Linked DNA regions of Arabidopsis thaliana. The protein of the gene in region 1 interacts with the protein of each later gene in a biochemical or structural test. Each region holds a gene or a part of one and is shown in the gene's direction. Other genes may lie near its edges.

What was found. The genes of interacting proteins can lie anywhere in the genome.
Region 2: of the proteins of CDG1 (region 1) and BSL2, one has a biochemical effect on the other in vitro, tested with the Arabidopsis thaliana proteins (one study listed by BioGRID).

The regions. Positions count from the first base shown.
Region 1 is NC_003074.8:9,935,597-9,940,942, reverse strand, and holds CDG1 (Protein kinase superfamily protein), read left to right. Parts: upstream 1-1,637; 5' UTR 1,638-2,006; coding exon 2,007-2,103; intron 2,104-2,416; coding exon 2,417-2,610; intron 2,611-2,711; coding exon 2,712-2,901; intron 2,902-2,986; coding exon 2,987-3,387; intron 3,388-3,819; coding exon 3,820-4,236; 3' UTR 4,237-4,361; downstream 4,362-5,346. UniProt on the Arabidopsis thaliana protein: Serine/threonine-protein kinase involved in the positive regulation of brassinosteroid (BR) signaling and plant growth. Mediates BR signal transduction from BRI1 receptor kinase to BSU1 phosphatase.
Region 2 is NC_003070.9:2,647,453-2,652,806, forward strand, and holds the start of BSL2 (BRI1 suppressor 1 (BSU1)-like 2), read left to right. Parts: upstream 1-2,006; 5' UTR 2,007-2,506; coding exon 2,507-2,975; intron 2,976-3,514; coding exon 3,515-3,575; intron 3,576-3,689; coding exon 3,690-3,768; intron 3,769-3,879; coding exon 3,880-3,959; intron 3,960-4,042; coding exon 4,043-4,137; intron 4,138-4,236; coding exon 4,237-4,336; intron 4,337-4,413; coding exon 4,414-4,483; intron 4,484-5,030; coding exon 5,031-5,132; intron 5,133-5,208; coding exon 5,209-5,290; intron 5,291-5,354. Other genes in the region: AT1G08410 (P-loop containing nucleoside triphosphate hydrolases superfamily protein), read left to right, coding at 31-124, 229-285, 369-448, 532-1,654. UniProt on the Arabidopsis thaliana protein: Phosphatase involved in elongation process, probably by acting as a regulator of brassinolide signaling.

The DNA.
Region 1 (5,346 bases):
CCGAACTAACTAATTAAACCGAAGTCAAATATATCCAGCTATAAGTAAGAGAAGACTTCTGGTGTTTATTAGAAACAAAGTAAGATTAAGAGAGGAATAAAGCTGGTGTCAGACATTAAAGATGGAACATCATCTCGTGGAATCAAACTTTTCCTAATACAAAAATTGATTCTCGGTTAGTGAAACTTCAATTTACTACCACTTGCAGATTGTTAATTTCATTATTATTATTCTCGTCGTTAGAAATTTGCTACTAACATTGCAAGTAGGTTCAGGTATAGGTGAGAGCTAGTTTAAGATGGACAAAACTAATTATGTAAGTAGTTCTTGTAAAATATGCATTTTAAAGGTAACAATTGCTATTTTGGTGTAAACTTTTGTAATGACTAAAAATAAATAATTGTGATGGAAATAAAATCTGATTACAAAAAGATTTGAGAACGTCATGATTCATTCATAATCATGTACTGTCTACCATACTTTTTATTCTACGTACTACCATACAATCTCCAAATTTTAAGAGTGGTATGGCTCCATGACTCACATCACATGATTTACATTACATATTGTACTAATGTCAGAACCTTAACCGATCGTAAAAACCGATCAACAACGTTAACCATCATTATTGACCGTTATCTGTCGTCATAAAATCTCGGCCAAGGCTTCTTTAAAGTCTTGGCTAAATCAAAAACAACTTTTGAATTTGAACCTCATAGTGGAGCTAGAGAAGAACACAACCAAGAATCAAATGTGTATACGTTCGTATAATTAATACTTGTTAATACTGTTTCCCTCTCCTCTTTCTTTAGTTTTGTTAATTACTAGACTTTTATGCACAAAATGATAAGAATGGAGTCATAAAATCCATAGAAACCATAAAAAAAAAGTTCCGATAATTATCATTATCGTATATTGAATAATGTGAAATAGAAGTTGAATGTGTTTCCAAATTTGGTTCGGAACTGTCTTATGTCTCAGACAGAGAATCTTTGATAAAATCTTTTAACTTACATTGCATGGATATATTGGCCTAAATTTTACCATTATCAGCGTTCCTTTTAATTTTGAGGTTAAACATAGGGAAAAGCATCTTGCCGTTTTCATCGTCTGTTAAAAATTATTGAGTTTTAGACTGGGAATCTTTAATACTTGTAGCTCACGTTACATGAATTTGTTTATCAAAATTTTGTTATTCTCTGCGGTTTTTGCAATACACTTAAAAATTATTTTGCACCAAAACCAACCAACAAAAAAAATTCTTCAATGAATTTCAAAAACGTTGATAATTTTTTTGTCGTTACGTCTATAGTTTTGGGCCTTTTTTGAATGCATAACAAACATAGTTATCATCTAATATATCACTATTAGAATTTAGAAATACTTAACGTGAGGATTATTTTCTAATTTTTGTCTTAAAAATTAGTTTAAATTCAGAATCCAACATTTATCACAATTATAAATTCCAGGGATATAAAGGAGAAACTTACTATAAAACAATTAACATTGTAGATTATTACCCTCAATGGCATAATAAAACAATAAATGATTTTATCTCATAGAAGCAATTGGTGAGTAACGTACCATATATATTGCACCCCCATGCTCTCTTTTGTTGATTACGTGTCTTTCCTTCCTATCAAAACCCCTTCAACCAAATCTTATCTAAATCCCCCAAAATTTTACGAAAACTCTCGATTTTAATCTAAATCTCCTTCCTTATCACCTCACAAATTTCTCGTGTTTTTTTGTAATCAATTTTTGATGGAAAATTATTCCCAAAACTCGAATCTCTGTTGATCGTGTGTTTCTTGGGGTTCGTCTGATTCCTTCAAAGTTTTCATCTTTTTGATAACAAAACCGTTAGTTCTTTGTCCTCGTGTGTGATCATCTCTTGAGCCCTATTGATAAACCATATAGAGAGTGTATGTGTGTGTATATCTTTGTTTATTGAGTGACACCAACAACAAAAAGATTATTTTCCTTGAGATTGATTAAAAGAAAACATGGTTAGTTGCTTGTGTTTTCGTCCCAGTCGGAAAACGAAGCTCAAAGACAAATCTCATAAGAGATCCATACGTAACCAGACATCCTCCTCTTCTGGTTCCTCTCACTTCCCTTTGATCTTTTTATTATTATTTATAGATTAATCTTGAGATTAGTCATCTTTAATACCAGTCATTAGTAGTAAATCATGATAAAATCTCCCTTTTCTTTTAAATAGCTTATTTATTAATGATACATATAGTATTTGTCTTGTGATTAGTTTATACGGATCGTACAAATCCCGGCTTAGGGTTTGTGTTTTATAGTTCAAAGATTTGTGTATTTGGCTGATAAATGTCTTTTTAATCTACTTGTGATCCAATAACATATGTGATATAGTCTCTCATTGTGTTGTTTTGTTCCTCTGTAGCCCAACCAGCTGGAACAGCAAAAGAAGTAGATTCGTCAAGTTCACAAACCGTAGTGCAAGATTCTTCTAGATACAGATGTCAGATTTTCTCATACAGAGAACTCGCCATCGCGACTAACAGCTTCAGGAATGAATCTTTGATCGGAAGAGGTGGATTTGGAACTGTGTATAAAGGAAGGCTAAGCACTGGACAGGTAATCTATTATTAACATTTGGACTAATCAAATCAATAATCTTGTCGTTGTGAAATCTCTAACTGTTTGTCATTGTGCTTTGTTGTTGGTCTTAATTCAAGAACATAGCTGTTAAAATGCTTGATCAGTCTGGTATTCAAGGAGACAAAGAGTTTCTTGTGGAAGTCCTAATGCTCTCGCTCTTGCACCACCGAAACCTAGTGCATTTGTTCGGTTATTGTGCTGAAGGCGATCAAAGACTCGTTGTCTATGAATACATGCCTCTTGGATCTGTAGAAGATCATCTCTACGGTAAAAAAAAAACTACACTCAAACCAAGAAATTTTCAAGAACGAGATTCATTAAAGTTTTTTAAATTCTTGTGTTGTTTTGTCAGATCTTAGCGAGGGTCAAGAGGCTTTAGATTGGAAGACAAGGATGAAGATAGCTCTAGGAGCGGCTAAAGGGTTAGCGTTTCTTCACAACGAAGCACAACCTCCTGTGATATACAGAGATTTGAAAACTTCAAACATATTGTTGGATCATGACTATAAACCTAAGCTCTCAGATTTTGGACTTGCAAAGTTTGGTCCAAGTGATGATATGTCTCATGTCTCTACTAGAGTTATGGGAACTCATGGGTATTGTGCACCAGAGTACGCGAACACCGGGAAGTTGACGCTGAAATCTGATATTTATAGCTTTGGAGTTGTGCTGCTGGAGCTTATCAGTGGACGCAAAGCTCTTATGCCCTCATCCGAATGCGTTGGTAATCAAAGTCGCTATCTTGTGCATTGGGTAATCCTCTCAACCTTATTTTGCTTAAGGATGGATTAGTTTTTTCCTTATGACCATTTATAGGCTTTGCTTCTTTTAGACTATATAACCAGATTATATCTATCTAAATTCCAATTTTGCTTAAGAGAAAAATTGTTTTGATGGTGACCTTTTGGTCGATTTTGCATAATTATACCGTTTACGATTTAGGGTTTAGGGTTTAGATTAATCAATTAACCATTAAACCATATGCTATCAATTTTGATTTTTCGTAAAAATGGTAGTGGTTTTACTATTGACCTTTAACCATATATAGGTTTTGATTTTGGTTATGCTGATGAAAAAGAGTTTCGTGTTATGGCCCTTAATGATGTGTGGATACGTATTAGACTAATGAATGTTCCGATTTTGATGACGACATGTTCATGTGTTTCTTTTTTTTTTTCTTAACAGGCACGACCGTTGTTCTTGAATGGCAGAATAAGGCAGATTGTAGATCCAAGGTTAGCAAGAAAAGGCGGTTTTTCGAATATACTTCTTTATAGAGGTATTGAAGTGGCCTTTCTGTGCCTAGCAGAAGAAGCAAACGCTAGACCATCGATCAGCCAAGTCGTGGAGTGTCTTAAGTATATCATTGATCACACAATTAGGAAGGAAAGGAGAACTAGGCGTAGACTACTAGGAGGAAATAAGGATGGGGCGGGGACATCGAGGTCACCGGATGAGACAATGATGAGGATGTTAGAAGAAGAAGAAGAATACGTAACTAGTGAAGAAGCTATTGAGAGAAGGAGGGTAATCGTGGATGATGCTCGTACTTGGGCCGGTATGAATAGGAGAGGGGCTACGCCACCAACTCCGACTCCATGAAAGTGAAGTAAATTTTTATTAACTTGTTTTTCAAGTTATATTTGGTTAAGTTTGTTTGGTGAGACTATTGTTAGAAACCAAATTTTGTTAAAACATTTAAACATGGCAATTTAGTTAATACTAGATTTATGTTTGTTTTTATATATGTACTAACATCAAATTGATTTCTTACAAATTTCATCTGCTTCAATAACTTCGGTTTATTTAATTCGATTAAGATTTTGTTTCATAACAAAAAAATTAATATTTTGGACGTAAACTTTTTCATTTCATTTTTTTTAATATTTAATTTTATTATATTGAATCAAAAATTACATGGTTATCAATAAACATACACATACAACCAATATTTAGGTAAAACAAAATAATCGAAAAAGTAAAATCGCACGTTGCTTCTTTCGATAGGTAGGACTTATATGCTACCAGAGAAATAATTCTGTTACTTTTTTTATTCGTTTTCATCTTTGATCTTCTTTTTTTTACTATCGCCTTTTTGATGAAACTACAATAAGTTCTTCAAAAATTATTAGTTGCGATCCATCTGTTACATCGCAAATCATACAAATTTTTTTTAGTTGTAGAAAACATGATTGTTTATATAGCGACTTGTTTTCCATATAGATATTCCTTCTTCACAGCCTCCAACACCGGTATCATGACTCCCCAACATCCATATAACGCTGCCACTGGATTCATATGGATCATATTCATATAACGCTTAACATTCTGCAAACTTGAAACTTTAGTCAGATAGCATTATAACATATCTACCATCCTTATTGGAACCAGAAGCGTTCTACAACCACTTTGTGATTTTTACATCGGAATTGTTGTACACGTAAACTTTTTTGTGTTATGAAAAATGTATTTAAAAGTTGAATGAACATATTTATATAGTTAGGCCCACTTGTGTGAATTCAGATTTTCAAGGCTCAAAAGAATATTTTTGTTTTAGAGAAGGTTGAGTCCATCATCATAACCCATATGTTGCCTGTCATCATATTTTTCTTTCGACCTTTTTCTCCTCGAGATTTCAAAAGATAATCACTATTAAGAAACAAAATTTTTGACCGCGGTTACTAAGTGACAAACCAATGAAATAAAGACACG
Region 2 (5,354 bases), on another chromosome or scaffold:
GCTTACATGTTCTCCTGTATTTTGGTTTAGCCTTGAGGAAAATGAAAAGCTAGTGTTGACTCCATTCGAAAAGAACCTTGACATCTGGAGACAGCTTTGGAGAGTGCTTGAACGCAGTGATTTGGTAAGTCTTTGTCAATAATGTATTAACCTTCTCAATAAGTTCAATTTCTGCGTTTTAGTTAATTGCAAAACAGTTTTGATTACTTATACTTGTCCTTTTTTCAGATTGTTATGGTAGTTGATGCTAGAGATCCACTGTTTTACCGCTGCCCTGATCTTGAGGTAATGCATTTTCTCCCAGCTTGAAACTCCACTTGGCACCGTATTCCTGATTCATATTTACTTGAAGATTCATCGTGACACAGGCATATGCTCAAGAAATTGATGAGCATAAAAAAATAATGCTTCTAGTGAACAAGGCGGATCTTTTACCTACTGATGTCAGGTTAGCCAATCCTCTTGTGCCTTAATACTTTGCCTCCAACCTTTTTTGTATTCTAACCGATTGGTTTAACTTTTGACTTGTAGGGAGAAATGGGCAGAATATTTCCGCCTTAACAACATTCTGTTTGTTTTCTGGTCAGCCATAGCTGCTACAGCTACCCTAGAAGGTAAAGTCTTGAAAGAGCAATGGAGACAACCCGATAACTTGCAGAAGACAGATGATCCAGACATTATGATATATGGCAGAGACGAGCTGTTGAGTCGTTTGCAATTTGAGGCTCAAGAGATTGTCAAAGTAAGGAATTCTAGAGCAGCATCCGTATCATCACAGTCATGGACTGGTGAATATCAACGTGATCAAGCCGTGGTTGGATTTGTTGGGTACCCAAATGTTGGAAAGAGTTCTACAATCAATGCATTGGTGGGTCAGAAGCGAACAGGTGTCACCTCTACCCCAGGAAAAACAAAGCATTTCCAGACTTTGATCATCTCTGATGAGCTTATGCTATGCGATTGCCCTGGTTTAGTCTTCCCTTCGTTCTCAAGCTCAAGATATGAAATGATTGCTTCTGGTGTACTTCCGATTGACCGGATGACGGAGCACCGTGAAGCTATTCAGGTGGTGGCTGACAAGGTCCCTCGCCGTGTAATTGAGAGTGTGTACAACATTTCTCTTCCTAAACCCAAAACCTATGAGCGTCAGTCCCGCCCGCCTCATGCTGCAGAGCTCTTAAAAAGTTACTGTGCTTCTCGTGGCTATGTTGCCTCGAGTGGACTACCGGATGAAACGAAAGCTGCAAGGCTGATTCTGAAAGATTACATTGGAGGTAAGCTGCCACATTATGCAATGCCACCTGGAATGCCCCAAGCTGATGAACCGGACATAGAAGACACTCAAGAACTGGAGGATATTCTCGAAGGTTCAGAGTCCGATGACTCTGCAGTAGGAGATGAGACAGAAAACGAGCAAGTTCCTGGTATTGATGATGTGCTAGATGATCTGAGCTCGTTTGATCTTGCCAATGGGCTTAAGTCTTCAAAGAAAGTGACAGCAAAGAAGCAAACCGCGTCACATAAACAGCACAAAAAGCCACAGAGGAAAAAGGATCGGACTTGGAGGGTTCAAAACACAGAAGATGGAGATGGAATGCCTTCTGTTAAAGTTTTCCAGAAACCAGCTAACACAGGTCCTCTTACGATGCGGTGATTATCAAATTGTAGTCCATCCAAGCAAAGATGGCAACCGAAGCTACTTAAAGTTTTTTTTTTTTTTTCAAAAAATGTAACAGCAGTTGAACCTGTCGCAGTAGTTCTCGAGTGTCTTGATGTTTTTGTTTTTATGATTAAAGTCTTATTTTGGGGAAAAGTAGAAAAAAGTGACAACTCAAATCTGGTGGAAAATGGAGAATTGTTTTTGCCAGTTGGAGATACCTATCGCTTTGTTTTGAGAATATAATAGCCATAAATAGAGTTTTCATGTAACTTTAAACTTTTTTCTTATTTGGGGTTTGGACTCTTTTGAACAATAAATAGTGATAATGAAACTTTAAAGTTTAAACATTTCAATAACCAATTCTTGTTGCTAAATATGTCATTACCAAATCGATATAAAACCAAAGTAAATAGAAATGTTATAGTGATTTCGGTTCGTACGTTTGGCAATGAGTTGGTTCGTGTCTCTCGTTCCATTGGCGTCCTTGAGGGTTAAGACTGATTAGGCTTTGTTGTACTTATGGAGAGAGGAGAGAGAAACTTGAGATAAACAAAAAAAAAAAATTGGTTTTTCCTAAATGTGTGAATGTCTGCTTGCTGCATCGTTTTATTAATTTCCCTGGAAAATAACTGTTTCTGTTTGTTGTAAACAAGCCTCGAGGATCTGACCGGTGAATGAAAGAAAACTAGGGTTTCGATTTTACCGGAATATTCTCCGAGAGAGCGGCAAGTTTAACATCAGATATGTTGTTGATCACAGATTCGCTTTTCTGCGAATTTTAGCTGGATCGGTCTTTCTTTAGTTAGTTTTTTTTTTTTGTTTTCCCACTTTTGAAGCTTTTTGATAATGGATGAAGATTCGTCTATGGTGGCTGACAACGATCAGGATCGTGAGTTTCAGAGCCTTGATGGAGGCCAATCTCCTTCGCCTATGGAAAGAGAAACGCCTCAGCAGATGAACGACCAATCACCTCCTCCTGAAGGCGGATCGGTGCCTACGCCGCCGCCTTCGGATCCTAATCCGGCAACTTCTCAGCAGCAAGCGGCTGCGGTTGTTGGACAAGAGCAGCAGCCGGCGCTAGTTGTTGGTCCGAGGTGTGCACCTACGTATTCGGTGGTGGATGCTATGATGGATAAAAAAGAGGATGGGCCTGGCCCTAGGTGTGGTCACACCTTGACGGCTGTGCCTGCTGTTGGTGATGAAGGAACGCCTGGTTATATTGGTCCTCGTCTTGTATTGTTTGGTGGTGCGACGGCTCTTGAGGGAAATTCTGGTGGCACCGGAACTCCTACTTCAGCTGGAAGTGCCGGCATTCGTACGTTTTCCTTCTCTGCTTGTTAAATAGTTTTAAGTATCACCGCTCTACATTTTCCTTCTCCTTTGCCTAACTATTGTGAAGTTGTAGTTTGCCTTCCTTGCTTTGAAGGTTCTCTCCTGAACGATTGAAAAAGTTAACTCTTTTCTTATGGCTTAATTATTCTGATAGAGGGCCCTTGCCAAGCCTTGAACTTTTAAAGATTTACCTATTTCAAAGATATACGCTGGTTATTTGCTTGCAATCTTGTGAGATCGTCTAAGTTTGGAAACTTTAGTTCTGAAAGCTTCACATCTGTTAAATTTAACTGGCAATCTGAGGTGGCAGTGTTTCCTCAACATTTATTGCATCCTATTTCATTTGGAATCGGTAGAGCAAAGAGCTTGATGTAGTACCAGGGCACAGTATTGGCTGTGGAATGTTAGATCACTAATTCCGTTTATTTGCTGATAGATTCTATGTTCTAGTTCTTGTTATTTCTTAAGGTTCCTAGATTTATCTGGTTGTATTAATTAATTTGGGTGTTCTTTTCTCTGCAGGGCTAGCTGGGGCAACTGCTGATGTTCATTGTTATGATGTACTTTCTAATAAGTGGACTAGGTGAGCATTAAATGTGAATGTCTTTGGGTTTTCACGCTAATTATGAAAAATGCATGAGATCCTACCCCGTTTAAAAGTGTGGATACCAGTTAATTAAATGAATTGAGGCTACAGGCTTACACCTTTTGGAGAACCACCAACCCCGAGGGCCGCACATGTTGCAACTGCAGTCGGGACCATGGTAGTTATTCAGGTAGGGGAGAAATGATGTTTTTATATTATGTGTATGATTTAAGTTTATCAATGTAAGATGAGCATTTCCAGTCAGCTATGAAAGTGCTTATAAATTCTTTCTGTTGTACAGGGTGGAATTGGTCCTGCTGGTTTATCGGCTGAAGACCTTCATGTTCTTGATCTCACTCAACAACGGCCACGATGGCACAGGTTTGAAAATATGCCTGCCACTATCTCGGTTGAAAATTCATTTTACTAGTTCGTGTCTTGATATTGATTATGTCTCTATCCAGGGTTGTTGTTCAGGGTCCTGGACCAGGACCTCGTTATGGACATGTCATGGCACTCGTGGGGCAAAGGTATCTCATGGCAATTGGTGGAAATGATGGTAAGCAGTTTTCCATATTGGCTTATTCTCAGTGTTTTATGTAAGGGTATCATATTCTCATTAAAGCTTCACCCTTCTGAACTCCATTCGAACTACTAGGAAAACGTCCACTTGCTGATGTATGGGCCTTGGATACTGCCGCCAAGCCTTATGAATGGCGTAAGTTGGAACCAGAAGGGGAAGGTCCACCTCCCTGCATGTAAGTTTGATTAGACTCCTTTATGATTGTGAGCTTTCTGGAGTAATTGTTTATATCTGTTTGTACGTTGTAACTAGGTATGCAACTGCAAGTGCGCGCTCCGATGGTCTTCTTCTCCTCTGTGGTGGAAGGGATGCAAACAGTGTGGTAAGTGAAGAGATTTATTACAGTCATACCCAATTATCTCTTTGAAACAAACACTGAGCCACTTATAGAGGCATGATTCTATTTTGGCTTTTGCTTTTAGTGTGAGATAAAAATGGGACCGTGAGATTTAGTCAATTAATTTATAGAGGTTGAGTTTTGTCACTGAGCAAATTGAAAAGTATTTTATTTCCCCAGCTACAAATTTATTAATGGTCCAATGAACGATCTTCATTCTATGTTCCAGAGCAGATGGAGATGTAACTCTTCTCTGCTAGGTAAATTAATCAAGAGTTTGTGTGTGTTTCAACACAGACTCTGAAGAAGTAACAAACATAAATTGTGTGCAAGACCTCGTGAAGCTTCTACGAGAAAAGGAACTATAATTTCTTTTGTCAACAAGGAATGAGCTTATTATCAATTATGTGTTTATACATGATCATGAGAAGTTGTCAATTCTGCGTAAAGTGAAATATGAAACTTAATGGACTGCTTTAATCTTGAATGGTTGATTGAGGAGCTTAATTTTTTTCTACGTTTGAATTGATAGCCTCTGGCCAGTGCATATGGACTTGCGAAGCACAGAGATGGACGTTGGGAATGGGCCATAGCCCCTGGTGTCTCACCATCTTCCAGATATCAGCATGCAGCAGTATGGATGCTTCTTCCTCTTTGGTTCTCTTTTCTGTCCTCATCAGAATTATTAAATTCTTTGGTTAATTATTTAGGTCTTTGTAAATGCAAGACTTCATGTGTCCGGTGGGGCACTTGGTGGTGGACGCATGGTTGAAGACTCATCCAGTGTTGCAGGTTAGCAAATGAAAAGAGGCAGTCTGATGTTTGTGCTGTTGGATTATCATTGAGGAAATACTTG